4 linked regions of the Diceros bicornis minor genome follow. The protein of the gene in region 4 binds, or shares a complex with, the protein of the main gene of each other region. Links are inferred from orthologs where the notes say so. Each region holds a gene or a part of one and is shown on either strand. Other genes may lie near its edges. The genes, in order: DNAJC9, GINS2, GINS4 and MCM2.

The links.
Region 1: the proteins of MCM2 (region 4) and DNAJC9 are in contact, whole or in part, in a crystal structure (PDB 7CJ0), measured with the Homo sapiens proteins. The link is inferred for Diceros bicornis minor from reciprocal best matches to the Homo sapiens genes MCM2 and DNAJC9. Residues at the interface, in NP_004517.2 of Homo sapiens: Glu65, Glu66, Glu67, Asp68, Glu104; in NP_056005.1 of Homo sapiens: Lys185, Arg189, Arg192, Lys244.
Region 2: MCM2 (region 4) and GINS2 share a complex: the UniProt entries of both Homo sapiens proteins name them as parts of the CMG helicase complex. The link is inferred for Diceros bicornis minor from reciprocal best matches to the Homo sapiens genes MCM2 and GINS2.
Region 3: MCM2 (region 4) and GINS4 share a complex: the UniProt entries of both Homo sapiens proteins name them as parts of the CMG helicase complex. The link is inferred for Diceros bicornis minor from reciprocal best matches to the Homo sapiens genes MCM2 and GINS4.

The regions. Positions count from the first base shown.
Region 1 is NC_080745.1:33,277,149-33,285,377, reverse strand, and holds the start of DNAJC9 (dnaJ homolog subfamily C member 9), read right to left. Parts: upstream 3,118-8,229; 5' UTR 1,451-3,117; coding exon 1,271-1,450; intron 1,125-1,270; coding exon 984-1,124; intron 381-983; coding exon 126-380; intron 1-125. Other genes in the region: MRPS16 (small ribosomal subunit protein bS16m), read right to left, coding at 3,922-4,055, 4,526-4,786, 5,200-5,491; CFAP70 (cilia- and flagella-associated protein 70), read right to left, coding at 7,641-7,721.
Region 2 is NC_080771.1:34,513,875-34,521,112, reverse strand, and holds the start of GINS2 (DNA replication complex GINS protein PSF2), read left to right. Parts: upstream 1-4,117; 5' UTR 4,118-4,169; coding exon 4,170-4,259; intron 4,260-4,612; coding exon 4,613-4,727; intron 4,728-7,238. UniProt on the Homo sapiens protein: Required for correct functioning of the GINS complex, a complex that plays an essential role in the initiation of DNA replication, and progression of DNA replication forks.
Region 3 is NC_080768.1:38,708,868-38,715,945, reverse strand, and holds the start of GINS4 (DNA replication complex GINS protein SLD5), read right to left. Parts: upstream 3,064-7,078; 5' UTR 2,941-3,063; intron 2,268-2,940; 5' UTR 2,249-2,267; coding exon 2,153-2,248; intron 1-2,152. UniProt on the Homo sapiens protein: Required for correct functioning of the GINS complex, a complex that plays an essential role in the initiation of DNA replication, and progression of DNA replication forks.
Region 4 is NC_080741.1:92,291,007-92,298,267, forward strand, and holds the start of MCM2 (DNA replication licensing factor MCM2), read left to right. Parts: upstream 1-4,259; 5' UTR 4,260-4,346; coding exon 4,347-4,352; intron 4,353-5,368; coding exon 5,369-5,601; intron 5,602-7,261. UniProt on the Homo sapiens protein: Acts as a component of the MCM2-7 complex (MCM complex) which is the replicative helicase essential for 'once per cell cycle' DNA replication initiation and elongation in eukaryotic cells.

The sequences.
Region 1 (8,229 bases), on a different chromosome or scaffold from region 4:
AACTAAATAAGTTAACCCTTATCCTTACTTCAGCAGTCTTGTATATATTTCCATTATTGTAAGTATCCTCAATTCTTTTTGTAAGCAATCAAGATATAAATAATAAATAGCATTCAAAATCTTACCCTCCTTTTCCTTGCATTCATCTTTCGCTTTGATTCTTTGACAAAGGCGTTAAAGGATGGGACCTCTCCAGCATCAATGGCTTGCTGAATTATGTTCCTTATTCTGGGTTCCTCTGTGTACTGCACACACAGCACAGACTCCATAATCTGATCCATGTCGCCCTTGAAGTCCAGATAGGCCTGTTTAATATCAGCCAGCTCTTCTTCAGAACCTTTGTATGTCTTTTCAAAAGCTTGAATGTCTTCTAGAGATATCTGAACAAATAAGGCACATACGCTTTAACTTTGAGAATTTTATTTTAAATAAAAGGTATACTAATAAAACTAGATTTAGATGTTGAAATGTTTCTCCCAAAATATTAGACTTGCTTCAGTTGAAATTCTTGCAAGGAACCAAATTTTCTCTGCCAAAGCTTTTCCAGAGTTCTCTGTGGTCCAATCTTCCCAACTGCAAAACTGGGACCAGAAAATTTAAGTGAAGTTTCCAAAGGTGAGAAAAGACTCAGAAAAATACTCAGGACTTACATTTGGATATGTAAAATAAAGCATCTTGTAAAAAATTAAATCCCCCGCTTTCACTACAATCAACTCAACAGGAAATTAAAAACTCATTTCACTAAGTGTGTGTGCGTGCCTGTATGTATATATACACCTAGTTCAACCTAATGGGTTAAATAGGTCTGTTCTCCAGACATATATGTGTATCTCCTGAGGAATGCCTGTGTGTGTGTATTTATATTTCCAGGCCAAATTCCTCACTCCTAGACGATACAAAATGCAAGGCCTTAGAGGCATTCAAAAGTCGTTTGTTGAATGAATGATGGGAACGGTCACAAAGAAATCTCCAGAGTCCCCTACCTTTTTAAAGAGTAACCTCCAATACGTCTCCCAGTCCCGATCTTGGTTGAGCACATCAGAATCCTCGTCCACTGTTCCCTGCTCATCGTACACTGCTTTCTGCTCTTTGTCACTTAGAACGGAATATACTCTCCCGAGGATCTGCGAAAAAAGAGCATGCAAGTGTCACTCCCGCACCTCTCACTAAAACCGCGCCGCGAGAAATAAAGATTAGAAAACTCCAGGCTGGGTTCAGCGCACTCCAACCTGGCGGGGCCGGGCGGCCGGTAGAGCGGGGACTCGCTTACCTGGAAGCGACGGGTGGCGTCCTCCTTGTCGCCCTCGCCCACCCGGTCCGGGTGCACCTGCAGGGACACCTTGCGGTAGCCGCGTCGGACCTCGCTGTCTGAGGCCTCGCGTCGCACGCCCAACACCCGGTAAAGGTCGGCGGTGCCGAACACTTCCTCGCACAGCTCCAGCAGCCCCATGGCCGGCAACGGTAAGGCGCAAGCGGAGCTCTCCGGCAAAACAGCCCGTTCCAGCGGCACCGGCTAGAGCTCCGGCCTGCTTCCTTTTCCCGCGCAAAACGCTCAGGACGCCTGCGTCACAAGAGGCGCGGGAAGAGGCGTGGCCAGGACGCCGAGCTTTACGGCGGCTGCAAACGGGGCGTGGCCAGACTGGCGTCGGCCTGGATTGCGGTGGAGCGGAGCCGGCGTCCCGGTCTCTCCCAGCGCGGGAACGTTTCTGCGCAGGAAGTGGGTGTATCCCAGCTGCTACCACGCCCTCTCCTCCACTCACTCTGGACATCCGGCGCCTATCTTCTCCCCAATGTCCCAGCGCAGAAGCTTATTCAGTAGTAAATGGAACGTCCATATTAGGTTGAACCTATACATTGCTGTTTTGTTTTTAAGTAAAAAACGGCATAACATCGGCATTTGGCAATTTTACATGGTTCAACCTAACGGTTAAATAGATTTGTTCTTTTTTCAAAGATGATCCTGACAGGAGTACATAGAGCACTAAAGCCCAAATAATTTTGCCTACAGGTTGGAATTGCTAGGTGGGTACTTCCCTACAGCCCTGCAAGAAAAACGCCTACATTAAACAAAAAACATAAAATACTGGTCTTTTAAAAACTCCTTATAGGATTTATAAATTTGACATTTATTACAGGATCATTCCCATTCACCTTCCAGCTCCTGAATCACCTTCCACTTTGGTGGAGATAACATGACCCACACCTTCACCCTAATAAAAATATAAGCTGCTGAAGCAAAGGCTCTTTTTTTAAAAAGAAAAAAAATGCTTTCTAAACTGCAGAGCTGAGTTTGAGCATGTTGGATTTGATGTGGTAGCAAGATAGGCTGATGCAATTATCCAAGACATGCTGAGAATCTGGGCCGTGGTGAGATCCAAAGCAAGAGCTAGATAAAACTCTGGAAATCAGGGAGAGGATCAGCTCACAGAAGTACGTCTATACACAGCTTAGGCAAAGGAAAGACCAGGGCACAAAGTGAACACTTAAGTTGGCAGAAAATCAGTAGCTCAAAATAATACCTTACCTTAATCCATTTCACCTCAGTTCCCCTCACTGGTCAATACTTTTCAGAATCACATTCTCCTCTGTTCTACCAATTAAGCTTCTCCAAAGATCTCAAACTCTCCAGGGTAGATTAATATCTTTTAAATTTCCAGAATTCCTATGGTTTTCAAAGCATTTTTCTTCCCTAGATCCAAGATTAAACTGAGGAAAGTCAGTTCCTTTCTGCCTGACCTGCCTTCAAAGTCTCTGCAAAGCAAGTGGAAGCCAACCAGTAACAACCCTGGGGGAAGCTTTGATGACCCCAAATTTGAGGTGGCTGGTAATTGTTCTCAGAATATAAAACCCAGAGAATTAAGTTGGTACATTGATAGGGTTTTAAAATCTCTATAAATTCCCTATATCCTAGACTTACACCAGAATTTGAAATAATCTGTATTATCCAGAGTGTGCACTAAAACCACCTAATCCATGCTTGTGGTTGTAGAATCCTGTGCTTCTGGTAGAGCAGAAAATGTGATATTCTGTGTTTTTTGGCACAGCCAGTCATTTGTATTACCAAACTCATGATACCTAAACCTGATTCTATCACTGACTTTTTAAGTGGACTTTTGAAAAGCCCCTCATCTTTGCTTATGCACCCTGCTCCCCACTGCCCCCCACCAATATATGTTAGAAAGGGCTCTCCAGTCCTCCAGGTAGGCACACTGGAGTCTGAATCTTAGCTCTGCCCAATATTAGAACTATGTGGTCTTGGGCAAGCTTCCACCTCTGAACCTGAGCTTCCCCATCTGTAAAATGGAAATAATCCTACCTAATTTCATGATCCCTTATAATCCTCACAAATAACCTTGTTTGTAAAGGGCTTAGAATGTATGTAGTTTACTTTACAATATTAGCTTTCTTCCAGGTTTTCATTCTTAACAAGTAGGCTATTACACCCATAACAAATCTACCTTTGTCAATTTAAGATTATGTATCAAGCAAGACAATATAAATCTGCAATTACAAAAATAAGTGAAGTAACTGTGTTCTTGAGCTGGTAGGATGACCATAAAGGATTAAGAAAGGAATTACGTGGCTAGGCTATAGACATGCTGGTTGGCGGCTTTGAAACACGGAAGTCTTGGAAGGCAGCAGACTATAAGTTGTCCGAGAGGCCTAAGGCCCAACCCAAATGTCCAACCCAACCCACAGCTACTGTCTTTCCCCAGAGGAGGCTGAAAAAGCTCATCAGTACCTAGACCAAGCTCTACATCAGACAGGAACAAATCCCTCCCTAGGCCCTGCTCAGGACAGGCCAGAAGAGCATAGGTGACTTAAAAAACTCCATTTATTGACCTCTAAATCTGATAAAATTAAGAGCTCTGCACAGGTGTTTTAAGAGGACTTTGACTTTGTTCCCACTGCTCACTGAAGTCAGATTGCTTTTGTTTCTATAGCCTCTGTATCTGTTTTCTGAGTGGCTAAGAGGACTTCTCGTGCTCGTTTCCGTCGCAGTCTCTCAGCATTTGTGATCATCATGGGATGCAGAGGGAAAAAGCCTGAAAGACCTAAAAGCAACAGGATTTTCATTCATTACAATACAGTACAAGCCAATGTTTCCCTGGGAATTCAGCCTCACAGAACTGAGGTCTCACAGAGACCTGACCTAGAGCATGGATTTAAAACATGCTCCTCACCCTGCAACCTGTCTTACTTCTCCCCAGCTCCCTCCTCTCCATTTACTTTAAGGAGACAATGGATGTTGTCTACTTCCTAACACTATTCTCCTTACTTGAATAAAAGACAAACTGACAAATGGCCATTCAAGACACACTATTCTCATTTTTACCATAAAATACAAGTCACCCAAAAAGTCCATAAAGGAGTCAGATTCAAAGTGGCAATTAGATCACAACTTCAGCTTTCACTCCAGTCCTGAGCAGCCTAGAGATGATGAAAATCATTCTTTATTCTCATCATCCTGGAACTGACTTCAATTTAAAATCTCTTCAATGAGGTAAGGCTAGAGTTGAGTTACCCAGAAGCTTTTCCACAGGCTTAGAGAGGTGGGCTCCACAGCCGATCCAATGCCGGATCCGTTCCAGGTTGAGAGCAACGAGTTTCTCTCCATGACTGTTGGGCAGTGGATCATAGGAGCCCAGCTGCTCCACAAAACGGCCATCCCTGGGACACTTGTTGTGAGCAGCCACGATGCGGTAGAAAGGCCGGTTGGTACAGCCGCCCAGGGCAAGGCGAATGGTTAAGTGGCCTCCGTGGTAGGCTCTGCAGAGGAGAGTAGCTATAGAGAAATAAGTAGTTAAGACAAAAGAACTGAGGGCACAAAACGAGGTAGATGAAACAATCTCCCTCCACTGAAATGTCCTTACTTCCAACTAATTCTTGTCAATCCGGCGTAGATACTATCCATGCACTCCAGCCAGAAACGACTTCCTCCTCATCCCCTAATCCCCTCAGCAAAGGCCTGCCCTTTACTGGCTCTGTGACCATGTCGGAGCCTCAGCTGCGTCATCTATAAAATGAATGCCATCTAGCTCATAGGGTTTCGGTGAGAAAAAAACTGAGAGGAGGATCACATGTAAGGCTGTTGCAGGTTCGGGCTGCCTCCCGCTCACCTGGGAAGAGCGCTGCCCCACCAGGTCCCGCACGCCCCCACCCCGCACCGCAGGGAGGTCTCTCGGCCCGATCACTCACTGAGCTGGACCATGGCGCAGCCGGCGTGCCCCGGGCCCTGTGCGCCAGGCGCGGCGTCTCGGAGCTCCCGCCGCCCGCACGCAGCAGCTCCACGGCCTGGGGCGGGGCGGCGGACGGCCGACGCTGCGCGACCGCGGGCCTCACCCCTCCGCGACCGACCGCCAAGCGCCTCGCCGTCGCACGCGGACAGCGCGCCGGCCCCGCCTCTTCCGCTCTCCGCCCCTGCACTTCCCTGAACGCAGCGCGGTGAACCCGACCGAACCTTAAACTGCCGGGGACAGGCGCGCTCCATTTGCGTGCCCCGGGGGTGGCAGTGCGAGCTGAGGCCGGTGGGCGTTGCCGGCCCTCCGTAGCCTGTGAGCGCCTGGGGGAGCGAGGAGTACTGCTAAAAGTGATAAAGTGCTCCATAAATCCATCCTTGCTGCAGACGTTTTTTGAGCACCTGTTAGGGCCAAAGCACGGTGCTGAGAACGCAAAAATGAAAAGGCGCTGTCCCTTCTCCTAGGAAGCTCAATCTGATGGGGAGACGGTGAGGTTACACCAGCATAACTAGGGGTGGTCAGTACACAGTCCTGGGGGAGCAGAGGAGAAGGTGAACCTGATACTTCCTTGGTGCCTCAGGAAGACTTCATAAAGGAGGTAGCCTTAGGGCCGAGGCTACAGAAGGACTATAAATGTAGAGTTTTATTATCCTTCTGTGTTTACTAATATGCCTTCTGCCTTCCCTCCTAGTATCTCCACCTCCTCTTTTAAAAAATAAAGGAAGGGGAGACTTTATTCCTGATTTCTGCTGTGCAGTGATCCAGGAGGACAGGGGTGAAGTGTGATTTGTCATCTCTAGCCCTAGAATGATGGCCTCAGTTGTGAGGAATTTTGCATCTATTACAGGGTAATGGACTCTAAATGGAGCCCTTGTGGTTTAGATCCATGAAGATGCCTGTGGTCAGAGGGAGTCAGCACCTCCACAGTCAGCAGAGACCTCTCTGTTGAGCTTCTCTGTTGGATCCAAAGGGCCTGGGCACAACTCATATGCTCTTTGCCCTAATGTAGTTGTAACCGCAGGCCCTCTAGGACCAGTTCAGCTGACCCCATCTCTTACCAACAGATTGACTTGTCTTTCATAAAAATTGCAAAGTCATGTAGCCAGAGCCTGTGTAAAAGAAGAAATCATGACCTGAAATGACCTCAGAACTAAGATCCTCCTCCCCATGGAACCCAAGGACGGTGCTGTGACCAGAACTTGAAAGCTAGACTCTTATCAGAAGCAAGGGGTCCCTCATTCAGGAAGATCCAGTGTTAAAATTCCTTCCCCACCTCATCAAAAATGTTTAGAACCCCATCATAAATGTTGAGAACCTTGTCATAAATGTTTAAAACCTTACCATAGGGGCCGGCCCCATGGCTTAGCGGTTAAGTGCGCGCGCTCCGCTACAGGCGGCCCAGAGTTCGGATCCCAGGCGCGCACTGACGCACTGCTTCTCCGGCCATGCTGAGGCTGCGTCCCACATACTCCCACATACAGCAACTAGAAGGATGTGCAACTATGACATACAACTATCTACTGGGGCCTTGGGGGGAAAAAAAAAGGAAGAGGATTGGCAATAGATGTTAGCCCAGAGCTGGTCTTCCTCAGCAAAAAGAGGAGAATTAGCATGGATGTTAGCTCAGGGCTGATCTTCCTCACAAAAAAATAAGTAAAATAAAATAAAATAAAATAAAAGCTTACCATAAATGCTTGAAGCCCACCAATCAAAGCCTGTGCCACTAGCATTTCCACGTGCCAGCCTATTCTCCCTAACCTCTTAAATTTTGCCCCAAATCCTGAATCAGGAAGACAGATCTCAGGGCACATGCCCCTTGTCTCCCTGCAGATCGAACTCACAGAATAAAAGCTGATTTCTCCCCTGAAGGCTGATGCCATAATTAATTGGCTTGTTTATGTGCATCAGGCAGAGAACCCCAATTTTGTGCAGTAACATAGTGACCCAGCATAGCAGTCTTCCTTTAGGCCCACCTTAGAAAATGATGCCTTAATTCCCAAGTTCCACTAAGTGAACCTGGCCAAGGACCTTAGTAGTTGACTTCCTCCAGGAGTGATCCTGATAAGCTTTCATCAGAAACCCTAATAATGAACCCACTATACCTTATATTCCTATATATACCTCAGTATACCTTAACTCCAGAACCATACTGATGAATTTTGAATTTCTTATTTCCATTTTTTATTGTCATTCAGTTTACTGTTAACCAGTAAAACATCCAGTAATGTAGCCATCCAGTAAGACAGCCAATGGGAATAAGTGAATGGGTTTCTGTTTATGGTGAAGATTCTTTTGTTCTCCATCTCCAGGCCTCATATGGTGAAACTTCCAGGGTTTAATTTCTCTGGGAAGGAAAGGAGCTCAGAGTCCTATACAGAAAATTCTTCAGCTGGAAGGATATCAGAAAGATGGGTTTCCAAAGCCAACTGTCTCCTGTACCTTGTGGATCTCGGCAAGCAGAGCCTCGTCTTTCAATTTCAGCTGCATAAGAGGAAAGAAGGGAAGAACAGGTGTCATATCTGATATACCTGTGTGGAGACCCCTCATTTGCAAGGCCACAGCTCAAGACCATAATTATTTGGGATGGAATTGGTTCTTCCTATATCCCCTATTTCATGGTAACTCCATTAAAAGACCTCAGAACATTGTGCTGGTTACATGGACATGCTCACTTTGTGAAAATTCATCAAGTGGTATGAACACTCACAATTTGTGCATTGTTTTGTAAAATAACTTTAATAAAGTTTATTTTTAAAGGAGTTCACATTATCACCCAACATATCTTGACCAATGTATAATATTCCCATTTGGCAAGAGACAGAGAAGAATCAAAGACAATAGATCTGAACTTAATTTTAGAATCTAGATGTGTAGTAGAGGTATCTAGTTGCCTTCTGCATACTCACTCTGTCCTTTCTTAATAACAAAATCTTCATTTCTTTTCAAGGTAGCAATGTAACCAGCTAAAAAGCCACATTTTCTGCTTCCC
Region 2 (7,238 bases), on a different chromosome or scaffold from region 4:
GTCCCTCCTTAGCTGGGTCACACCACCAGCAGTTTGTCACCGCTCCACCTAAGTCATCCCCGAGACCACAGGAGGCTGGGCTCAGTTTATCAGAGCAGAGGCTCTTGGCCTCGGCAGAGGCCCAGGCCTGCCCCAGAGGTTCTGGTGTGGCCCTTCCATCCCTTCCATCCAGGTGTGGCCCAGGAGGTGATTCTCACGTGCAGGCAGAGCTAAGAGCCTGTGGAGCTTCTCGCCCACCTCCTCAGTTCTTCACTGTCATTCATTGTTTTTCTAGGCTGATGGTCTCCGCACTCTAAGAGAATTGCTCCCGGTGGCAGGGATTCAGACCTCAAGGTAGACTAATCAAGGATGGAAGGAACCCACTCTGTGTAGATGGACCCCAGGTCCTTCCCAGACATGCTCAACCCAAGGATTACCTGTGGGGATGCATCGTTAGGCCACTGGCCCAATGTCACTCACAGGAGTGAAAGACCCTTCAGAGGACCCCGGTCCCCATCCAGTCACTCATATTGTAAGTGCTTAATCTCCATATGGGGCTCGCAGCCACCCTACTGGACAGCTCAGCTACAGGAGATTTCCATCATTGCAGAAAGATCCACTGCTTTCAGATCAGACGTCCAAGTTGCTGACTCATTTTTGGAGCACTGTTCTGCGGCTTAAATTCTGTGACCAGAAGGTGTTGTAGTGCGGACCACCCTGAAGGGGGCAGTGGGTTCACGCTTCTGAGTGTTTTGAATCCTAGAGAGGCTTTTTCTTAAACTTTTTTTGGTAAGAATAGCTTTAGCTTTACAGAAAAGTTGCAAAGATAGTACAGAGGGTTCCCATATACCCCACACTCCGTTTCCCCTGTTGTTAATCTTCCTTTACTCTGGTCCATTTGTCACAACAAATGACCCAATTTTGATACATTGTTACTAATTAAAGTCCACATACTTTATTCACATTTCCTCGGTTTTTCCTTAATGCCTTTTTTCTGTTCCAGGCTCCCATCCCAATTTAGCTGACATGCCTCCTTAGGCTCCTCTGGGGATGACAGTTTTTTAACACCGTCTTTGGTGACCTTGGCAATTTTGAGGAGCGCTGGTCAGGTGTTTTGTAGACTGTCCTCTGTTAGGATTTGTCTGACATTTTTCTCCTGATGAGACTGGGGTTGTGGGTTTGGGGAGGAAGATCCCAGAGAGGAAGCGCCTACTCATCTGTCGTATCCAGGGTAGGTGCCCTCACCATGGCCTTCACTGCTAACGTTGACCTTGATCTCCTGGCTGAGTTCGTGGAGGTCAGATGTCTCCATGGTCGAAGGACTCTGTTTTTCCTGTTTCCATCCTGCCGTTTTTGGAAGGAAGTGGCTACAGAGCCCACCCTTCAGGAGTGGGGAGCATCTATCTGTCCACATCATGTGGGATTCTTCTGCATGGAGATTTGTCCCTTCGCCCCCTTTTATTTTGTCTCCAGCCCTTAATTCATTACCACATGGGTCACTCGAGACAGCTTGGGGAGGCGTTTTCAACAACAGGAAATAACGGTGTGAGGGCCCTGCCCACCCCATCTAAAGTAGCACCCCCACCTCCGTCATTCCCTGACTCCCTCCCCCCTCAGCTTTCCTCTTGTCTGTTTACTGTCTCCTTCCCCCACTTTGAGAGGCCAGCATGAGGCTGGGCATTCACAAGTCCTCTCTGGACCCTGGGAGTGGCTCAGAGCTGGACCGGATTGGGGCAAATCACTTCGCTTCCCAGTTTTCCCAATTAATACAACTTCCTAGGGGACGTGTTAAGTGTGTGGTTTCCACGAGTCAGAAAGTCTGAGCCTGGAGCCTAGGAAGGGGCATTTTAAATAACAGTTTTATTGAGGAATAATACACATATTATAAAATTCACTCTTTTAAAGTGTACAATTCAGTGTTTTTTTAGTATATTTATAGAGTTGTGCAACTACCACCACTATCTAATTCTAGAACATTTTTATCACCCCAAAAGAAACCCCATACCCATTAACAGTCACTCCCCACTCTCTGCTCCCCCAGCTCCTGGCAACCACTAAGCTAGTGTCTGTCTCTATGGATTTTTTATCTATTCTGGACAGTGCATGTAAATGGAGTCATATGGTTTGTGTGGCTGGCTTCTTTCATGTAGCATAAGGTTTTCAAGGTTCATCCACGTTGTAGCATGAATCGGCTTCATTCATGTTCACCGCTGAATAACATTCCATAGTATGACCACATTCTGTTTATCCATTCCTCCGCTGATGGACATGTGGGGCATTTCCACCTTGGGCTGTTGTGAATAGTGCTGCTGGGAAGGGAAAGACAAGCCCCCAAGTGACCCAGATGTACACTCAAGTTTGAGACTCCAAGATGCCACCATTTGCAGCGTGTAAAGCTGCACACTTGTTCTCTAGCAGCCCAGTGAGGTAAGCAGCAGCACTGTCCCCATGTTATAGATAAGGACACCGAGACTTGGGTGATGTGGACGCGGGACTCTGCTAGCCCTCCTACTCATCCCGCCACGGTCTCTCTGAACCTCAGCTTTCCCATCAGCTCTTTTCCTTTGCTCTTTTACCGCTGCGAAAATCCGGGAGGGAAGCCTTGCCAACTTTGGAATACAAATATTTGCCAGTCAAGAAAACATTCCACCATCAATCAAAACCCAGACAAGCTGGCACACACTCTCTGCAGATGCCCAAGGGAGCTTCTATTTCAGGAGGGGCCAGGTGGCCTGAGGCCTCCCCTCCTCCCCAAACACCCTGGAGCTCCTTCTTTTCCTACCTCACTTTGCAGATAAGGAGGCTGAGGTTCAGAGTGGTCACTTGCCCTCGGTCACACAGCATCCAGAGGGGCCTTTTACGTATTTTCTTTGAAAGTATTTGTCTTAATAAATGACACACAATGAAGGTAATCTCCAAGTCTGTAAATGACAATTTCCCAATGCAGATAAATAACAGACAGCTTTCCAGGCCGTGTGAGTGAGCAGAACTTAATTATGGCCTTATTTCATCTTCCCAACAACCTTACATGGGGCAGGTTTCAGGAGGGGTAAAGAGGAAAGCATGGGGTTATCTAGGGTGGGACAGCTCTCCTGTAGGGATACAGAACCCTGGAATCCCCATCACCTATGCTTTTTCTCAGGGCCTAATGATCCGGGTTTCAAATTCAAGTCCAGCCCACTGTTGTGGGCCTACACTGTTCCCATCAGTGCTACACTGGCTGCTTCACTCCCCAGGGAGCTTTCCTGGCCTACTTCCACCCATCAAAATCACCCTGGTCCTGTGAAAATTCAGCTTTCTGTCCGCACCCCAGACTCCTGAACCACAGTTCTCCAGGAGTGTGCGTGTTAACACTCAGAATCTTCTACGGATTCTGACCCGGGAGAGAAACACTGCCGTTACGTTTCACACGAGCCCACTGTACAGAGGGTCCCGTTCAATGAGCAGAGGAGCACATCAATACACATCCGCTCCAGTCGTGCAAACTTGTCTCCTCATGAGTCTCCCCCGGGGTGCTGCCAAAGCATGAATGCTGAGTTCTTCCCGCAGTTTCTGAATCAGAAGATGTGAGTGGGATGAACGAATCTGCATTTTTGTAGATTTCAAGCAATGTGTATAGAGAGGACGGAAGACTGTGAAAATAAGGGAAACAACGCCTTCCCTCACTCCGCTGGGCAGGGCCGTGTCTGTCTAGCCAAGTCACGCCGTGCCCCAATAAATGCATTTACTCCTGGCGGGCTGCGGGCCCCACTGTAGACGCACTCCGAGCTCCACCCCCAGCTGGACTCAGGGTGTTGGCGGGTAGGCGCCCGGGGCAGGTGAAGAGACATGGTGCCAGAGCAGGAGGCCCACGGCAGTCAGGTGCCCGGCCCACGCGACGGGCCGGGTCGGGACCCGGGAGGGGCGGGGCCGGGACGCGGGAGGGGCGGGGCCGGGGTACGAGAGGGGGTGAAGCCCGGGGGGGCGGGGTCTGCCCGCAGCCTCGCTCAAGCTCGCCAATCCGCGGGCTCGTAGCAGCCTCGGGCCCCGCCTCCTTCCGCCGCGCCGCGTTGCTATAGGCCCGCCGAGGCTTCTTCCGGCCGGGGGGCGGGTCCCGCGCGGTGGCGGGGAAAGCGGCGGCCGCGGCGCTTCCTCCCGGACGCTGAGGGTCGGAGGCGGCGGCCAGGCCCGGGCCGGCCGCTAGCGCTGCCATGGACGCGGCCGAGGTGGAGTTTCTGGCCGAGAAGGAGCTGGTTACCATTATCCCAAACTTCAGTCTGGACAAGATCTACCTCATCGGGGTGAGGGCGCGGACCGGGGCGGGCATTTGCCTCAGGACCCGGCGCCTGGGAGAGGCCGGGCCGCCGGGGGCCGGGGATGTGCGGACGCCGCCCCGCCTGCATCCCGCCCTCCTCTGCGCCGCCTCTCGGAGGGGCAGCCGGGCGGCGGGCTCGGTCGGCGCGGGCCTGCGCGGGCGGGGCGGCGGCTCCGGGGAGACCGGGCGCAGGGGGGCTCAGGCGGGCGGGCGCAGGCGGGCGCAGGTGCGCCGGGGCCGCCTTCCCGCGGGAGTGCGCGCCCTGGGCTCCGGCCTGTCCGCAGGGAGGTCGGTCGTGCCTCTGCCGCGCGGTCTTAGCGGTCCGTCTTCCTTCCGCAGGGGGACCTGGGCCCCTTTAACCCCGGCCTACCGGTGGACGTGCCCCTGTGGCTGGCCGTTAACCTGAAGCAACGCCAGAAGTGCCGGCTGGTTCCTCCCGCGTGGATGGACGTGGGTGAGGATGGGCGCGGGTGACTCCGTCCCGCCGCGCGGAGGCGCGGGTGGCCTGCGGCGAATTCACGGCCCCCGGCTCACGCCTTAGTCTGCTGACCGCTGCTGCTGCTGCGCCGTTAGTTTGGGGGTGTTGACCAATCTTCGTCCAGATTTTGGTTTTAGGATATTTCAGCTGGCTCTAAAATTAAGAATGTTCTATGACCGGGCCGGCCCGCGGCTTAGCGGTTAAGCGCGCGCTCCGCTGCTGGCGGCCGGGTTCGGATCCCGGCGCGCACTGACGCACCGCTTCTCCGGCCATGCTGAGGCCGCGTCCCACACACAGCAACTAGAAGGATGTGCAGCAGTGACATACAGCTATCTACTGGGGCTTTGGGGGGAAAATAAAATAAATAAAATCTTTAAAAAAAAGAAAGAAGCATTCGTTCTAATTTACGGGAAATGGGCACAGTCTGGCGTGTGGAGGAGAAGAGTCGCTGTCCGCGTGAAGACAGCGCGGCCCCGTGTGAGGGGCGGCCCTCGCCGTAGGCGGAGTGAAGCGCTGGGCGTGCTGCGGCGCCTGGGGAGCACACGCCGTGGGCAAGGAGGCCGCCAGGACGGCACGTCGGGTGTGCCGGTCCGTTCACGTGGCGGTTCCGGGCGGCAGACGGTGGTTGTCTGGGGCTGGGGTTTGCGGCTTGAAGGATTGTGGGGTTTCTTTTTGGGGTGATGGAAACGTTCTCAAGTTGATTGAAGTGATGGACGCACAACTCTGTGAATGTACTAAAAACCGCTTTGTTTTTTCTGTGGAGAAGATCAGCCCTGAGCTAACATCTGCCCATCCTCTTTTTTGCTGAGGAAGACTGGCCCTGGGGGCTAACATCCGTGCCATCTTCCTCCACTTTGTATGGGACGCTGCCACAGCATGGCTTGACAAGCGGTGCGTCCTCGGGGCCCTGGATCCGAACTGGGCTGCCAGCAGCAGAGCCTGCGCACTTAACCGCTACTCCAGGGGGCCGCCCCGAGTTGTACACTTTAAATGGGTGAATTGTCTGGTATGTTAAATATGCCCAAATAAAGCCGTTAAAAGAAAATAGTGCATCAAAGGTTCAGGTAGACTTTATCCTGAGCCTTTGCAGTCTTTCCCACCTCAGAGATATGAGTGGCTCATTATAGAGAAGAATCTTAATTTTATTTGGGGTAGGGGACATGTAGAATTTGAAAAGGCTGTGAGTTATGTTGATTGTTCCCTCCCTGGGGACACCTGGGAGTATTTCCCTCCTAGAAGCAAGGACACCTTCAGCGGCACTCGCAAATGTTTAAGAAAGACTGGGTATTTTCTCCTCACTCCCCGTCCTAAAGGGGTGAGTGTCTCTGGTGGTCCTGAAACATCATGGGAAACTAATTCCTTCTGCTTTGAAGGGCTTTTTTAGCAGGGAGCCCCACCACCCCTGCCTCCATTAGCACGGCATCCTCTTCGGGCAGTTTTGGCCCCTCCAAAGCCAAGGTGATGGGGGCGAGAGCCCACCTCACTGCAGGCCAGAGCCAGAGAGCAGGCGTGGAGCAAGTCAGCCTGAGCTTCCTGGGCCTGGGCCACAGTGTGGTGAGAGGTTGTGATACATCACTAGGCAGTAAGCCCTGCCTGAGAGCCGACTGCCCTCGGCTTCTGCCACTATGCTTAGTTTTGCCTGTTCTTGGACATCATACAAATGGAATCAAGTATGTCAATTTTTGGCTCTGACTTCTCTTATTCAATATAATGTTTTTGAGATTCGCCCCCATTGTCGCATTTGTCATTACATCTTTCTTCTGTTGCTGAGTAGTGTTTCATCCATTGTATGAGTTTTCCACAGTTTGGCCGCCCATTCTTCTGTTGGTGCATATTTGGGTTGTTTCCCATTTTTGGCTATTGTGAATAAGGCTACTATGAACATTCTTGGGCAAGTCTTTTTGTGGATGTGTGTTTTTATTTCTCTTGGGTAAATACATACCTAGAGTGGTGGAATTACTGGGTCATAGGACACACTGTGCTTAACTTGTAAGAGGCTGCCAACTGGCCCTGCAGAGTGGGTGAGCCATTATTAGAAGCCCACCAGAAATGTACGCGAGTTCCCATTGTTCCACACCCTGGCGGACGTTCCTTGTTGTCAGTCTTTGATTCGTTGCAGGGTTTGAACAGAGGTGTTTTATACTCTGATTTAGATGTTAAAAAAGAAAAGAATTGGTCTGTTGTGTAGAGAAGATGTGTGTGGGGAGAGGGCAGTGGGGAGTTACCCAGGCAAGGGCTAAGAGTGGTTGACCAGGTGCTGGAGGTGGGCAGATGTGGTTGGAGTCTAGGGGTATCTTGAAGAAAGAAGCAGCAGGATTTGCTGAAGGACAGGCCATGGGATCTGAAAGAGAAGAGTTAGGATGACCTCCAGGGTTGTTGGCTTGAGCTGCAGAAGGAGATGGAGTTGCTGTTTCCTGAGACAGGGAAGACTGCAGGAGGAGTTTGTGGGCTGGAGTGGGAACCAGGAGTTGGGGTTTGAACATGTTA
Region 3 (7,078 bases), on a different chromosome or scaffold from region 4:
TCTGAACTTGACATATATTTATGTTTCTTCAGCAACTTATTTCCTGTTGTTCTACATGGTGTTCCTGAGAGTTCTTCATGCTGCTGCAGGAGCTTTTACTCATTTTATTACCATCTTTTTTCCCATTGTGTGTCTACGCCACAATTTTTCATCCATTCTATTCTTGATGGATATCTGGGTTATTTCAGTTTTTAACTATCACAAGCAATGCTATGAAAACTTTGTGCATGTCTCCTGGAGTACACGTGTAAGTTTTCTCTAGGGCATGTAGCTGGGAGTAGAATGACTGGGCCACAAGATATGTGTGCCTTTAACTTGACTAGACAATAACAAATTCTTTTCCAGAGTGACCAATTTACATGCCCAGGGCAGTATACAAATGTGCAAATTGCTCTATATCCTTGCCAATGCTCTATATTGTTCACTTTTTCATTTCTACCAATCTGATGAATATGAAGCAATATCTCATAGAGATTTAAATCTTCATTTTCCTGATTACTAGAAAGGTTGAACATCTTTTTCATATGATTATTGGCCATTCTGGTTTCTGCTTCTGGGAGATGCCTGTTAAGATTTCATTCTTCGTTGGGGCAGTTTTTGAAGTTTGTTTATGTATTGTGGATACTAACCTTTTGTCAGTTACATATTTTGAAATGTTTTCTCCCAGTTTTGCAGCATGTCTTTTTACTCTTACCAAGGTGTAAAAACAGAAGTTCTTAATTTTAATGTAGTTGAATGTATCAGTTTTTTCCTTTATGCTTTGTGATTTTTGTTTAGTGAACCCTTTCCTAATAAAGCAGGGGCTCTTCAACTGGGCTCCACAGACTAGGTGGGCAGATTTCAGGTGTCTGAGAACCTCCTGAAATGATATGCAGCATTCTGCATGGGTGTATATATATACTATTCTGGGAAGAAGGGCCAGACTTTTCACTAGAGTCTCAAAAAGGTCTGTGATATTAAAACAAATTAAGAGTAACTGCTATATGGTCAGGATTATCATATAAGGTATAATTTTAAAATTATCTTCCTTCAGTTTTGTCACTCATGATGGCATGTTTGGTAGGAAAAAATGAAGAATACTAAAGTAACAAACGAGCGAGTTCTGGAAAGGGGCAGTTAAAGGGAGAAGATGAGAACAAGGCAGCAGGTGTAGTGGATTAAGAGCACACGTTTTGGCGTCAAAGAGACTTGGGTCGTATCCTGATCTGCTGCCACTGTGTGACCTTGGGCAAATTACCTGACATCTCTAAGCTTCAGGTTCCTCATCTGTAAAATGGAGATAACAATAACCCCTGCCTCACTGGGTTGTTGTAAGGATTATTACTGCTCACAGCCAACATTCAGTGAGTGCTTATCACGTGTCAGGCAATCTGCCAAGCACTTTACATATATTACCTCATTTAATCCTCCCAGCAACTCTGTGAGGTAGCCACTATTATTAACTCCATTTTACAGTCAAAGAAGTGCTTGAGACAAGCTATATAACTTGCCTAAGGTCACATAATAGACTAGTGGCATGGAGGGATCTAAACACAGATAGTCTGAACTCCTATCTTCCAGAGCTCCACGAGATAGTGACTGTAAGTAACTTAACACAGTTACTGGGACACCGGAAATGCTCAATAAACCATGGCTATCATGACTAAAAGGAGAAATATCCCAGAAATGATTTTAGATAGCCAGTGGAAAAAGAGAACAGCTGACAAAAGCAAGTATATGGGAGGAAAAGGAAAAATAAGAGCAGTTTTTTCCTAAAGGTGTTCCAGCACTTTCTTGCTAACCCAAGCATTCTACAGGGAAACAGCAGATGTTTCAGGGACTAAGGTTTAGAACTTACAAGTCTCCACCACAAAACCTCTGCAGTCCCCACAAATACCAAGTAGATCCTTTTCTATGAACTGTTTTATTCAATGTGCCCAAAGCTGTCCCTTATTGGCCCCACTTGAAGATTTTGTATTTGACATTATGAAGTTTCTAACAAAGCCTGTCCCCACTACTTCCTATTTCTGTGTAGATGGTAAAATCTAGTCCCTCTTCTCTTGAAATAAGCCTTGAATTCCATTTCCTCGTTTTCTGATTCCCGACATTTGCATAGTTGGGCTAAATAAAAGGGCTAAGATTGGAGCAAGGGGACTCTATTTGAGGTGCTTACCTGCTCCAGCCTTTCAATGAGCTCTGCAGGAGTCAGGACCACCTCCTCACTACCCCCATCAGAGTCCTGTCCCGTGAGATCCAGTTCCTCTGCCATCTTCTCTGAAACCAGGAACCTAATGAGAATAAAAGAACTAATACCCTGCAACGTGTTTTCCATTTATTTGCAAGAACAGGCAACTATGTATCTACAACTGGGGTTGTAGAGGCTCACTGGCAGTAGCTAGAGAATTCACAGACTTTGATTTTATAATTCTTTGCCTCTTCCTCCAAACCTGAGGTCAAGTATTAGTTTCTCAAAGAGGTCACCCCTTAGAAGCGTTTCCACGTGCACCACGAACGGTACACTGGTACATCACACCACGTGATAACCACCTGTCTGCCTTCCCAGCAGCGGTCCTTTCCTCAGGGGCTGTGTGCTCTTCAGCTCAAGTATGAACCACCATCCGCTCTGTGCCTGGCACTTCTAAGTACTGGGGCCATAGTTACCTGCGTAGTCCCTGCGCTTAGCACCGTGCTTAACTCACAGCAGGCATTTACAACTGCTGGGAGAGCTAACCAACGCCTCGTTCCCTAGGGCCGCAAGGCCCAGCGACATCAGGCCGGCCAGTGACCCCAACGGCTCAGGAAGGCGGGTGGTGGGGCCAAGGGCAGTCCCCGGAGCCTCAGAAACTGAGAGCGTACCCTCCCGCTCCTCTCCTCGCTCGGCGCCGCGAGCACAGCGGCCCCCTCCCCACTCTCCCCGACACACACACACCCACCCACCAGAGGTCCCACGCGGATGCTCACCCAGGAGGCAGAGAGACACTCCGAGGTAGCACGCGGCTAGCACCGGAAGCGCGTGGGGAAGCGCCGGGCTCTCCCAAGGAGCACCCGGCCGCCAAACACGCCGTTGGAGGCCTTTCCCGGACGTACCCAAACCTCCTCTGCAGCTCCCGCGCTCCCCTCAGAAACTCTCCGCCCAGGCATGACGTCACCGCGCACGGGCGGCGCTGGCCAATCACGGCCCAGAGGCTCCGTCCACCCGGGGGCGGGGCTTGGCCTCTGCGGCTCGCTCTGCAGCGCCCTCTTGAAGGGAGGCGGCGGCAGGCTGGCTCGGGTGAGCCTCGCCCGCCTTGGCCCGCCGCGCCGCAGTGGGGTCCCGGCTGGCGCCGCCCAGGGACCGTCGGGAGGGGGCGCCTCGCCACCGCGGCTGAGGACGCTCGGCGGTGTCGGCCTCCCGGCCACCGGGGTGCAATCGCCAGAGTATGTCCTGGCTGGTGGGGTGGGAGCGGGTGGGGGGTTGGACGACAGAGATATGGGCTCTGTTAAAATCAGGCCAATACCGTCTCTTGGGTCGTGCTCTCCACCCACCGCTCTGTGGCCCTTCTGGTTCCTTCTTTGCCAGGGCTTCAGCTATGGCCACTACTTCCAGTTCTAAAAACAGCTGGGCTGGTGGTTCTTAAAGCGCGGTACCAGACCACCAGCAGCAAGGTCGTCTGGGAACCCGTGAGAATGCAGATTCTCAGGCCCCGGCCAGCCCTGCTGAATCAGAAACTCTAGGGGTGGTTTAACAGACTCCGTGAGTCTGATGCAGGGGAGGTTGGAGAACCACTGCTTTAGGCAATGCTTCCATCTCAGCTGCTTGACTCTCTAGGATATTTTGATATCTACTGCTTATGCCTTCTACCTTTAATGTAAGACAAAAGCATATATATGTAAAAGCATATATGTATATATTCGTGCTGACATGAATTCAGACAAGTAAAACGTCGAGCTACAAACATGGCAAAAGAAGGAAAAAGCTACTGCCCCAAGTTGGAGAGGATACAGAAAATAGGACCCTATACAATGAAAGAAAGTGAACAGTCAATGCAATTTCCAGATGGTGCTCAATGAAGAAATTCACTGCTGTTATAGACACAGCAAATAGAAACAGCCAAAATGTTTGTGGATAGCTATAGAAATATACATTAATAAGAATGAATCTATTTTTTTTCAATCACCAAGGAAAAAAGACAAAATTTATGTATCTATACAGTATTGTGAGATGCTTTTTGGAGAAAGATGCTTTTGAAAAGGTAATACCATCATTACTGTTCTGCCTTCGTCACTGCCCTTGCTCATTTGGTCCAGCTGTTTGTCACTGTTTCCTTCCTCCGAATTCCATTACATTCCTGGTCTCACTATCCTAAGAAGCAAAGCACTAAGTTTTGGAGAGGGTATTAGTTAAGCAAAGTTTAACCTCCAGTTGATCTGAACGAATGAAGATTTGGACTAAGGACAGGAAAGTAGAAGGAAACTTGCATTTTTAAGGAAGGCAGAAAAATTCATGTTTCCTTTTAGCCTCTCAAGGAAAGCTGTTAACTGGTGAATTTGCAAGTATTTTTCTGGCCAGCGGTAAAACCCCATACCTGCTTGCATGGCTGAGATGCTGGAAATCTCAGGAGGCCAGGCCAGGCATGGATCTCCGTGACAAATGTAAGATTGGAGCAATTTGTGATGTTCCTAATTCCCTTTCGCCTCAGACTTTTAGCTCCTATCCCTTACTCAAATCTCATCTTGAATTCAAACACATTAAATTAAACCATATATGTCCCCAATAAAGGTATAAACTTTTCAAAGTTTGTCTAAATGTAATCCTAGTTTCTGGCACAGACACATAAACCCTACCTCTGCCTCTGTATTTTGTTTTCTCTTGGTTAATAGGAGGATGCTTTTTTCTCATAACTTAAGAATATTCTTAAGAATAACTATTCTCAGCCTTATAACAAAAAAGTGTCAGTTTGCTGTGGAGGGGTACTCACATCTTCTGAAAAGAAAGCTGATCCAGGAAGTAGAACATTTGGCTTCAAGTTTGAGCTCTAACAAAGGCTTCCCAAGCCTGGGCACAGACCCTGTAGATGCCATCTCCTCCATTCGCCTTGACTTTGTCAATAAGGGTTCACAGTGACATTGACGGAGGCATCGACACCTGCCAAAGGCTGTGGCCTCCTCAAGCACAGAGTAAGATGATGTTCTCTCATCCCACTGTGGCCATTTTACACCCTTGAAATTTTCCTCTGAGGATGGCAGACAGAACACCTGTGGGCTACACCTCACTGCCCACAGGCTTAGACAGCTGTGCTGAAGCAGGCTGTTGGAGGGTGGGTAAATTCCCTTGAGAGAAGTAGGACAATTTCAGTCACTCTGGCTGAAAACAGTGCTGCTGATTTTCTTGAAGTTTACAGCTTCCTCCCTTACACCCTTTGCTCCAGTTATGTCAAAAGTTGGACAGGAGGGATTTTTTGTCTCCTTTCTTTGCACATGCTGTTGCCTCTTTCCAGGCTTCTCTCTTTCCATTTCACCACCTGATGAACTCCTATGCATCCTTCAAGACTCAGCCAAAGTATCTCTTCTTCTGTGAAACCATCCCTAACACATCCACCCCTTCTTTAGGTCACCATGTATGTTACTATTCTGTTACAACATTTATCATGCTACATTGCAGTATGAACATGTCTGTTTCTTCTATTAGATTGTGAATTCCCTGAAGGCACCCCCCACATCTAGCACAGTGCCCCTCATTTATTCATGCATTAATTCTTCTTTCCACAAATATTTCTTGAGCATCTAGTTATATTTGAGAATCTCCTGCCAGGCCCTGTGTAGGTGCTAAAGATAAAGCAGGGAATAGGAAACATAGACCTTGTGATGGAGACAGACAATAAACAAACAATAATTATTTGTCAGGTGGTGATGAAATAAAGTTGGGTAACAGATAGAGAACATTGAGGGCGGGGAGGCCTCTGTCTTAGACGGTTGGGGAGGCATCTGTCTTAGCACGCTTGGGCTACTATAACAAAATGCCAGAGATTAGGTGGCTTATCAAGAACAGAAATTTATTTCTCACAATTCCAGAGGCTAGGATGTCCAAGATCTCAGCACTGACAGAGTCAGTGTCTGGTGAGGGCCCACCTCCTACATGGCTGTCTTTTCACTGTATCCTCACATGGTGGAAGGAGCAAGGGAGCATTCTGGGCAACTTTTATAAGGGCACTAATCTCATTCATGAGTCTGCCCTCAAGACTTAATCACCTCCAAGACCCCACCTCCTAATACCAGCACCTTGGGGGTTAGGATTTAAATATATGAATATTGTGGGGACACGAATCTTGAGCCTATAGCAGCCTCCTTGAGGAGGTGACATGTGAGCATAGTCTGCAGGAAGAAGGAATAAGTTCCAAGAGAGATGGATGTGAAACACTGTGAGGAGATACAGAAACTGTACTGTCATTTATTTATTGCAGAATATACAACCACCATGAATTTTCCTTTTTGTTTTTTTAAACAAAATTTACCTTCTGAAAAACTATGGCCAATATAGCATTTAGCAGGTAAAATGATTTTTTTCGGTAAGAGTCAAGCAAAGAGAAATGTGACCTTTCCATCAAGAAATTCATGTGCCTTTATGTCATGAACATCTGATGAAAAGCTGCTATGTCTAAGTGCCGGGCAGGTCTTCATGTTTATTAGGGTTCATGTAATTTACCCTAGGGAATTGTCTTTAGGTCTAAATGAAAACCAGGCCAAACTCAGCATTTCTAAATGCTCTCAGCTTAGGCCAATGCTCTTTTTTGTTTTTAAATATGACGCCATAGGAAAAGGCTTGACTATAGTCATAGGAAAAGGCTAAAGGGGAGCCTTGTTTGAGTGTACCCTGTATCAAAATATCACGCATTTCTTTTCATTTTAATGTCTTACTTCTCTTTGTGTTAATGGATCACAGACATGGCACCATTTTGAGAACTTCACATAACTAATGTAATAGGTCATTCCACTTCAGACTAAAGTTTTTTGAAATAATTTTTCTGTGCAGCGACAACTCTTAGAATACAATTGAGTTAATCTGTGCATAGGTAATTGTTCCCCTGAGCTGACAAGACACAGTAAGATTTATTTTAAAATT
Region 4 (7,261 bases):
GACAGAGTGTGGCATCAGCCAAGTTCAATGAATGGTAGTTTAATAAACACAAGTTCTGTTCTTTGCCCTACACCAGGCTCGGGGTGGCCATCCTCTCTAGGCCATGGCTGACGGCAGGAGATGCTGCTACAGAACTGGGGATCCCAAAGTAATAGAGATGAGATGGCAGTGCTCAGCCGTGAGAAGCAAAGTGGGTACAATCGTCATGCAACCATCGAGGTCAAAGGAGCAGCCAGGAAGGTGGAATAGGTCACTGGATGGACATAGTCAGTAGGCGGCAGAATGCCAACACTGGTTCCTTTGTCTGGGCGATGAGAGTTTTCACAGAGGTGAAAGTCAAGTAAAAGCCCCTGAAATGTCCTCTCCCCCCACCTGCCTCAGCCAAGATAGTAAATAAAAAACAATATCACATACCAGGGAAAACAGCAGAGATCAGGGCCTCCCTCGAAGACCTAAAGCATATGGGGAGGTAGACCCCACCGTATCCCTATTTAATTCATCAGTCTGGCCTTTAAAACATACAGAGAATAGGAGTAGGTTGCTGCAAACCCAACCAAGTAGTAGCCCAATGGCAGCTGCTGTGCTGCTGTCACTGCTAGCACAGATCAACGTGGCTCAGGTAGCAGTGGGCCGCCTGCGATGACTGTCCCTATCAGGATGCCACCCCTATCATTCACAGGGAGGGACAGCAGTTTACATTTATGGTCTTGCCCCAGGCCTACGGTCACTCTCTCACCCTCTGTCACAGTATACATAGTCTGAAGGGCCCTGGCCATCTGAACGTTCTGCAGAACAGTGCATCGGTTTATTATATTGATGACATCCTGCTAACCTTGCCGGACGTACAAGAAGGAACAAGCAAATGAAGACCTTGATGAGACATACATGCTCCAAAGGGTGGAAGATGAACTCTATGAAGATTTGGGGGCTTGGCACATCGGTGAAGTTTGTAGGGGTCTAGTGGTCTGGGGCATAGCAGGACATCCTCTCCAAAGTAAAGGACAAATGACTGCATCTTGCACACCCCATCACAAGAAAGGAAGCACAACGCCAGAATCCACTCTTTGGGTTCTAGAGGCAGCATATTCCACACCTGGAAATGCTGCTCTGACCCATACATCTCTGGGTGACATAAAAGGCTTCCAGCTTTGAGTGAGGCTCACAGCAGGAAAGGCTGTCCCAGAGGCCACAGGCCCCTCAAACCCTATGATATGAGAAGCCCTCTAATGGTGGGAGGAAAAGATGCTGTGTAAAAGTCAGGGCAAGCCCTCCTGGGAAAACCACAATGTCGCTCCCCAGGGTTCTAGAGCGAGGCCAGGCCTTCTACAGCAAACTACACACAAATCCAAAGAACAACTCCACCAGGCTACTGGACCCTGGCAGAGATGACTAGGGAGCATCAAGTGACCAGGAGGCCAGAGCTGCCCCTCATGAACTGGGTTCTATCAGGCCCACTTGTAAATTCATGTGGGCCCAGCAGCCAGCCATAGCATGACGGTAAGCGATCCATGGCAGATCCACGTCATCTACCACTGTCACACTAGTGCCTCTCCCTCATTCACACCTATGGCTGACTGGCAGGTCCCTCAGACAGCTGACAAAGGAGGGGGAGGCTGAGCTTGCTCAGAGATGAGCTGGCTCATTCTGTGGGTCAGAGGCAAGGCCTGGAGGGGAAGCAGCCGTGTGGAGACCTCAGGGATGAAAGCCACAGGCTGCGGATGGTGGAAGCAGAAGTTGGGAAGCAGACTTATCCTTGATGATGTTCAGTGCTGGATGCCTACTGATGTGAGAAAAATCCCCAGGGTGATGTGCACCCAGAGTGGGTCCAACACGGCTATTGGCTGGGGTCCTGGCTTCCTCACTCCGTGGGCCTGTCACAGGGCTGGTTGTGTGTCCTCAGGACATGGCAGCTGGCTTCCCTCAGAGTGAGTGATCTGGTGAATCACCTAATCACTTAATCTGAAGTGATATCTAATCACTTCTGTCGGATGCTATTGGTCACACAGACCAACTCTGGTACAATGGGAAGGAGATTATAAAAAGGTGTGAATACCAGAGGGCAGGGATCATTGGGGGCCATAAGAGAGGCTGCACCCCACCCTCTTCCACCTTACCATTTCTCCTAGCCTCCCTCCCATTCGCATTTAAACATGCCCAGGTATGTCATCTCAAAAACAGTCCTTCCCCAGCCCTGCATCCCTCCCCAGTCACTGCCCCACCTCCCACAGCTCAGCTTCTCCACAGATTTGTCCACAGTCACCTTCTCACTCCCTGCACCCTACTCCTCAACACACTCCAACGTGGTGTCCGACACCAATCCCGCACAGCCAGAGACACCAATGGCCCCTAGTCCTTACCAAACTTGACTTCTTGGCAGCTTGTCACCTGCTGACCCCATCTACCCTGGTGGGCAGCCTCTGAGATGGCCCCCAATGAACCCCCGCCCTTGATGTGGGCTAGCCCTAGCGACTTGCTTCTAACAAACAGAAGATGGTAAAAGTGAGGGGATGTCACTTCTGGCCCATGGCTTCCGGCTTGTATGGCCTCTCTCACCCTCATTCACTTCCTCTGAGCAAAGCCAGCTGCCATGTTGTGAGCTGCGCTATGGCGAGGCCCACATAACAAGGAACTGAGGAGACCCCCACCCAAGAGCCAGTGTGAAACGGTCCTTGTCCAGCAGCCTGGGGGGAACTGAATCCCACCCCATGAGGGAGCTTGGAAGCAGGTCCTCCTTGAGCTGAGCCTTCAAATGGGCCTGCAGCCCGGGCCAGCACCTTGAGTGCAGCACTGTGCGAGACAGTGAGGCAGAGGCGCCCACCTGAACCAGGCCTGGATCCTGGACCCACAGACATGGAGAGAATACATGGTAACTGTTTGAAACTGCTAGATTGCAGGATAATTTGCTAGGCGACAATGGATAATTAATACAACCCCACCCACAATCTCTGCTCTGGCTTCTCCCTCAGCAGCTCCCAGCATCCCAGCTCCTGCCCAGCATCCTTTGTTGGTGCTGCTTAACTGTTGGGGTTTTCCGGGTCCTAGGCCTAGGCCTTCTCTTCTCACTGAACTCGCTCTCTGGATTAGCCAGCCACTCCCCAGTGGCGGCTGCAGCCCAAGCTTCCTCTCGAGCCCCAGACCTGAACATCCAGGATATCTCTGGCCTCTTGGACATCTCTACTCAGGGGCCACATTCAACACAGCCAGAAACAAACTCACCCTCTTTCCCCCCAAACTTTCTTGTCTTCCTCTTGCCTTCCTCATCTGAGAGGTAGTGCCATCGTCTGCCTAGACTCCTGAACCAGAATCCTGCTGTTCTCCTGGTTGCCTCCCTTTTAATGTCCTCCATCCCCAAGGCCAATAGACTATATCTCCTAAATATCTCTCGGATATTTCCAGTCCTCAACATCACTCCTCCCCCTATCCCAGGGTCTATCCAGAGATGCCTGTTCATCGCACAAAAGCACCAGGCGAAGAGGGCGGAGATCCAGCCCTGCCCTGCTCACCGAGCAACCCACCCTAGCCCAAGCTGCCTGTAACTAGGAAGACCCGCAGCAATCCGCCTCCACCTCCACCGGGGGCAGCCTGAGGAATTCTCCTAAAGCCCACACTGGCTCTCCTCTCACCCTGCTTAAAACCTTTCTGCACCTCTCCACTGCCCTCAGGATAAAGCTAAAACTCCCCAGAAAGACTTGGAGATCTGAAGCGACCTGGGCTCTCTGATCTCAAGCCTTGCCCCTTCCTGAGCATCACACGCTCTTTAACCAGAACTCCAGACGACGTTCTTTCTATCTGGCATCCTCCCTGCATCTCTGCTCCCCTCGGTGAAGACAATTTAGTAGAACACCACATGTGGCCTCCTACAATCTCAGAGCGTTTTGGTGCTCCAAGCGTCCAGCCTGAGAGCTTTTAGGGAAGTGGAAAGGGGCTGTCCGCTCATGACACAGTAAGACGACCTCAAAAAACAAGACTCTCAGCCTCCGTTGCCTCGTCTGAAAAACAACCATACCGTGACCAAGGTCACGCAAACAGCAGGTGGGACTGGTCCTCGCTGCCCCAACCCGCAGCTTCCACTCCCACACCTTTCCTGGTCAGGGCAGCGCAGAGCACAGGCCGCCCGCCGTCCAGCACGTGGGGGTGCGCCTCGGGCAGCGTGGGCGAGACCGCGGGGTGGCGTGGGCGGAGCCCCCTCCGGCCCGCCCTCTGCGCGCCGGCTTGACGCAAAGGGACACCGACGTCATGACGCCGTATTCCGTCAGACTCTTCCCGGGCTCGGCCGGGTCACGTGGGCCAATTTTCGCGCGAAAACTGGTAGTTGCTGGAGAAGCAGAGAGGTTCGGGGCGCTGCGATGGCGGTGAGCGCGCCGGTGGTCCCTGCGGGCCTGCGTGTCTGCCATGCGGGGGGCGCGGGTGGGGCGTGGGCGTGGGGGCCGGCGGGTGGTCCCTGCGACGCTGCACGTCTGCGCCGGCCGGGGGCGCGGGTGGTCCCCGCGGCCTGCGCCTCTGCGCGGTCTGGGGCGCGGGCAGGCGGTGCAGAGCGCGCGCCGGAAACAAAGGTGCGGGGGCTGCGAGCTTTTGGTTCTCTCGCCCTCGCGCCGCCCCGGATCGGTGCTCCGGACGAGGTCGGGTCCCTGGGCTCCATATGGAGCTGATTTCTCTCCTTTACTCCCCTCGTGCGGGGCCTGCAAAACCAGCGGGCCCCGCACCGCTTCGGTCTGCCTGGTGATGCCTCCTCCCCCGCGCCAACCTGGGAGCGCTGGACTCCCTAGGCCGAGCCCAGCCCGCCCGGCCATTATCGTTGATTCACTCCGCACATGCTTGTTGGGCGCTCTCTGTATGCCCGGCGCTGTGTGTATACAAGACAGACAAGTCCTGCGTCTTCATGCACTTACTGTAACATTTTTTGTCCCTTTGTCTTGTTTACTATCTGTCCGCTCCACCATTCTGTAAGTTCCAGACCTCTTATGTTTTGGTCGCTTTTGTAGCCCGTGTCCAGTCACAGTGCCTGGCACACTGGGGGTGCTCAAATGGGTGAGAATGCATGCTTATAGGGGAGGAATAGACGATATACAGGTAAACAGACAAATGATGTACCCTCAGTGATTTCTCATGGAGAAAACAGGGTAATATGAGTGACAGCATTTGAGGAAGTGTTATTTGGGCTGGTCCCCCTGTGCGGAGAAGCCATTGGCTCAGAGAGCTCAGAGGAGAGCCTGCCAGGCAGAGGGAACAGCAAGCGCAAGTCTTGAGGCTGGAACGGGTTTGGAGCGTTGGCGGACAGGGTGGCTGTGGAGAGGGAGGCCTTACGGGTGGGGAGGGCCACAGTACAGAAAGCTACCTCAGCCCTCACCTCCTCCATCTCCTGTTGCAGGAATCATCTGAGTCCTTCACCATGGCGTCCAGCCCAGCTGGGCGTCGGCGAAGCAATGATCCTCTCACCTCCAGCCCTGGGCGAAGCTCCCGGCGCACTGATGCCCTGACCTCCAGTCCTGGCCGGGACCTTCCTCCCTTTGAGGATGAGTCGGAGGGGCTACTAGGCACAGACGGGCCCCTGGAGGAAGAGGAAGAGGATGGAGAGGAGCTTATTGGAGATGGCATGGAGAGGTATTTTCACTCAAGGCCCTGCACTCAGCTGATAGTTTTGCAGGGAGCCCGCTGTGTGTCTGGCGACCTTGTTTTGGGTGCTGAGGAAGCAGATGGATCAGAGCTTCCTTGCGCTTGAGCGAGTCTTGGTCCAAGGTCTGGGGGGAGACAGCTTCATGGAGCTGCGACGGATGTGTCTAACTTACACTAAACCCTGAGGCCTGGGTAAGCCCTAACTCCATGAGAAGGGCACCCCAGGGGATGCGTGCAAGGGGTCCCTAATCTGGGGGAGAGGGGCGCGCGTCAGGGACACCAGCCGGGAAGGACAAGAAGCAGACAGCCAAGTGTTTTTCTGTAACTGCAAAGAAACAGTTGGGGGAGGGGTGATTAATCAAGATTTAGATTCAGTCCAGCAAACATTTGTTGTGCCTCATCCGTACCAGGCCCTGTGTTAGATAGTTTCATACAAATGCATATTAACACATATCGACACTTAATGCTAAGATAGTGGAGTCAGCTCTGCAAGTGAGCAGGGTTACCTCTCTGCTGCGGCCTTTCCGTGTGTTTACAACCAGGATGTGGCAGCTACATTCGTAGTGGAATTGTGGGAATGCCCAGGAGCCTCATGGAGAGTCTCCTTTTGGGCCTTTCTGTCCTCTGACTTGGGGTTCCAGACTTGGTGTGCATGAGAGGACTTACAGGCCATCCCACAGTCCAGGGCCATCCGAGGGACTTTCAGGGGCACTCTGGACCATTTGGATCTTTGCCTTAAGCACCACCACCCCAAGTGATGAGACTGGGTGTGCAGTGCATGCCAGACTGTGGAAGGAATGAGGAGTTTTTGGAAGAACCAGCCCTGGACGCAGGGTCCCTGTTGTGCGTTGTGGAGTTGTTCAGGCAGGGTGCCCCTCCCCTGCCAGCTGCCCTCTGTTTCCACTCCCCTTTGCTTCTCCCTCCAGAGAAGGACAGGCTCTTTGCAGGGGCCTCTGGGTAGAGGTATCTGGGGGCGAGCTGGGCCCAATTGGATTTTGTTTCTGTGGCTTTTTTAAGAACAACTTTATTAAGCTGTAATTTCTATATTATAAAACTCAGTCCTTGTAAGAATACAGTTCAGTGCTTTTTAGTAAATTTCCTGAGTTGTGCAGCCATCACCACAATCCAGTTTTAGACATTTTTATCATCCCAGTAAGATTTCTTGTGCTTGTTTACAGTTAATGCCCATTCCTGTCCCAGCCCCTAGGCAACCAATAATCTACTGTCATTTTAGATTTGCGATTCTGGCCATTTCATACAAATGGAGTCGATACTATGTGGCCTTTTGCAACAGGCTTCTTTTACTTAGTGTGGTTTTCAAGGTCCATCCGTGTTGTAGCTTTTATCAGTACTTCAGTCAATCCTTTTTGTGGCTGAATAATATTCCATTGTATGGACACGCCATTTTTATCTATTCATAAGTTGGTGGACATTTGTTTCTTTGCACTTTTTGGCTCTTATGAATAATGTTGCTATGAAGTTTTTCTGTGGACGTTATGTTTTCAATTCTCATGGACATGTACCTAGCAGTGGAATTGCTGGATCATATGGTAATTCTCTTTAATCTTTTGAGGAACTGCCAGGGTGTTTTCCAAATCAGCTGCACCATTTTACATTCCTACAAGTGGTGTATGAGGGTTCCAATTTC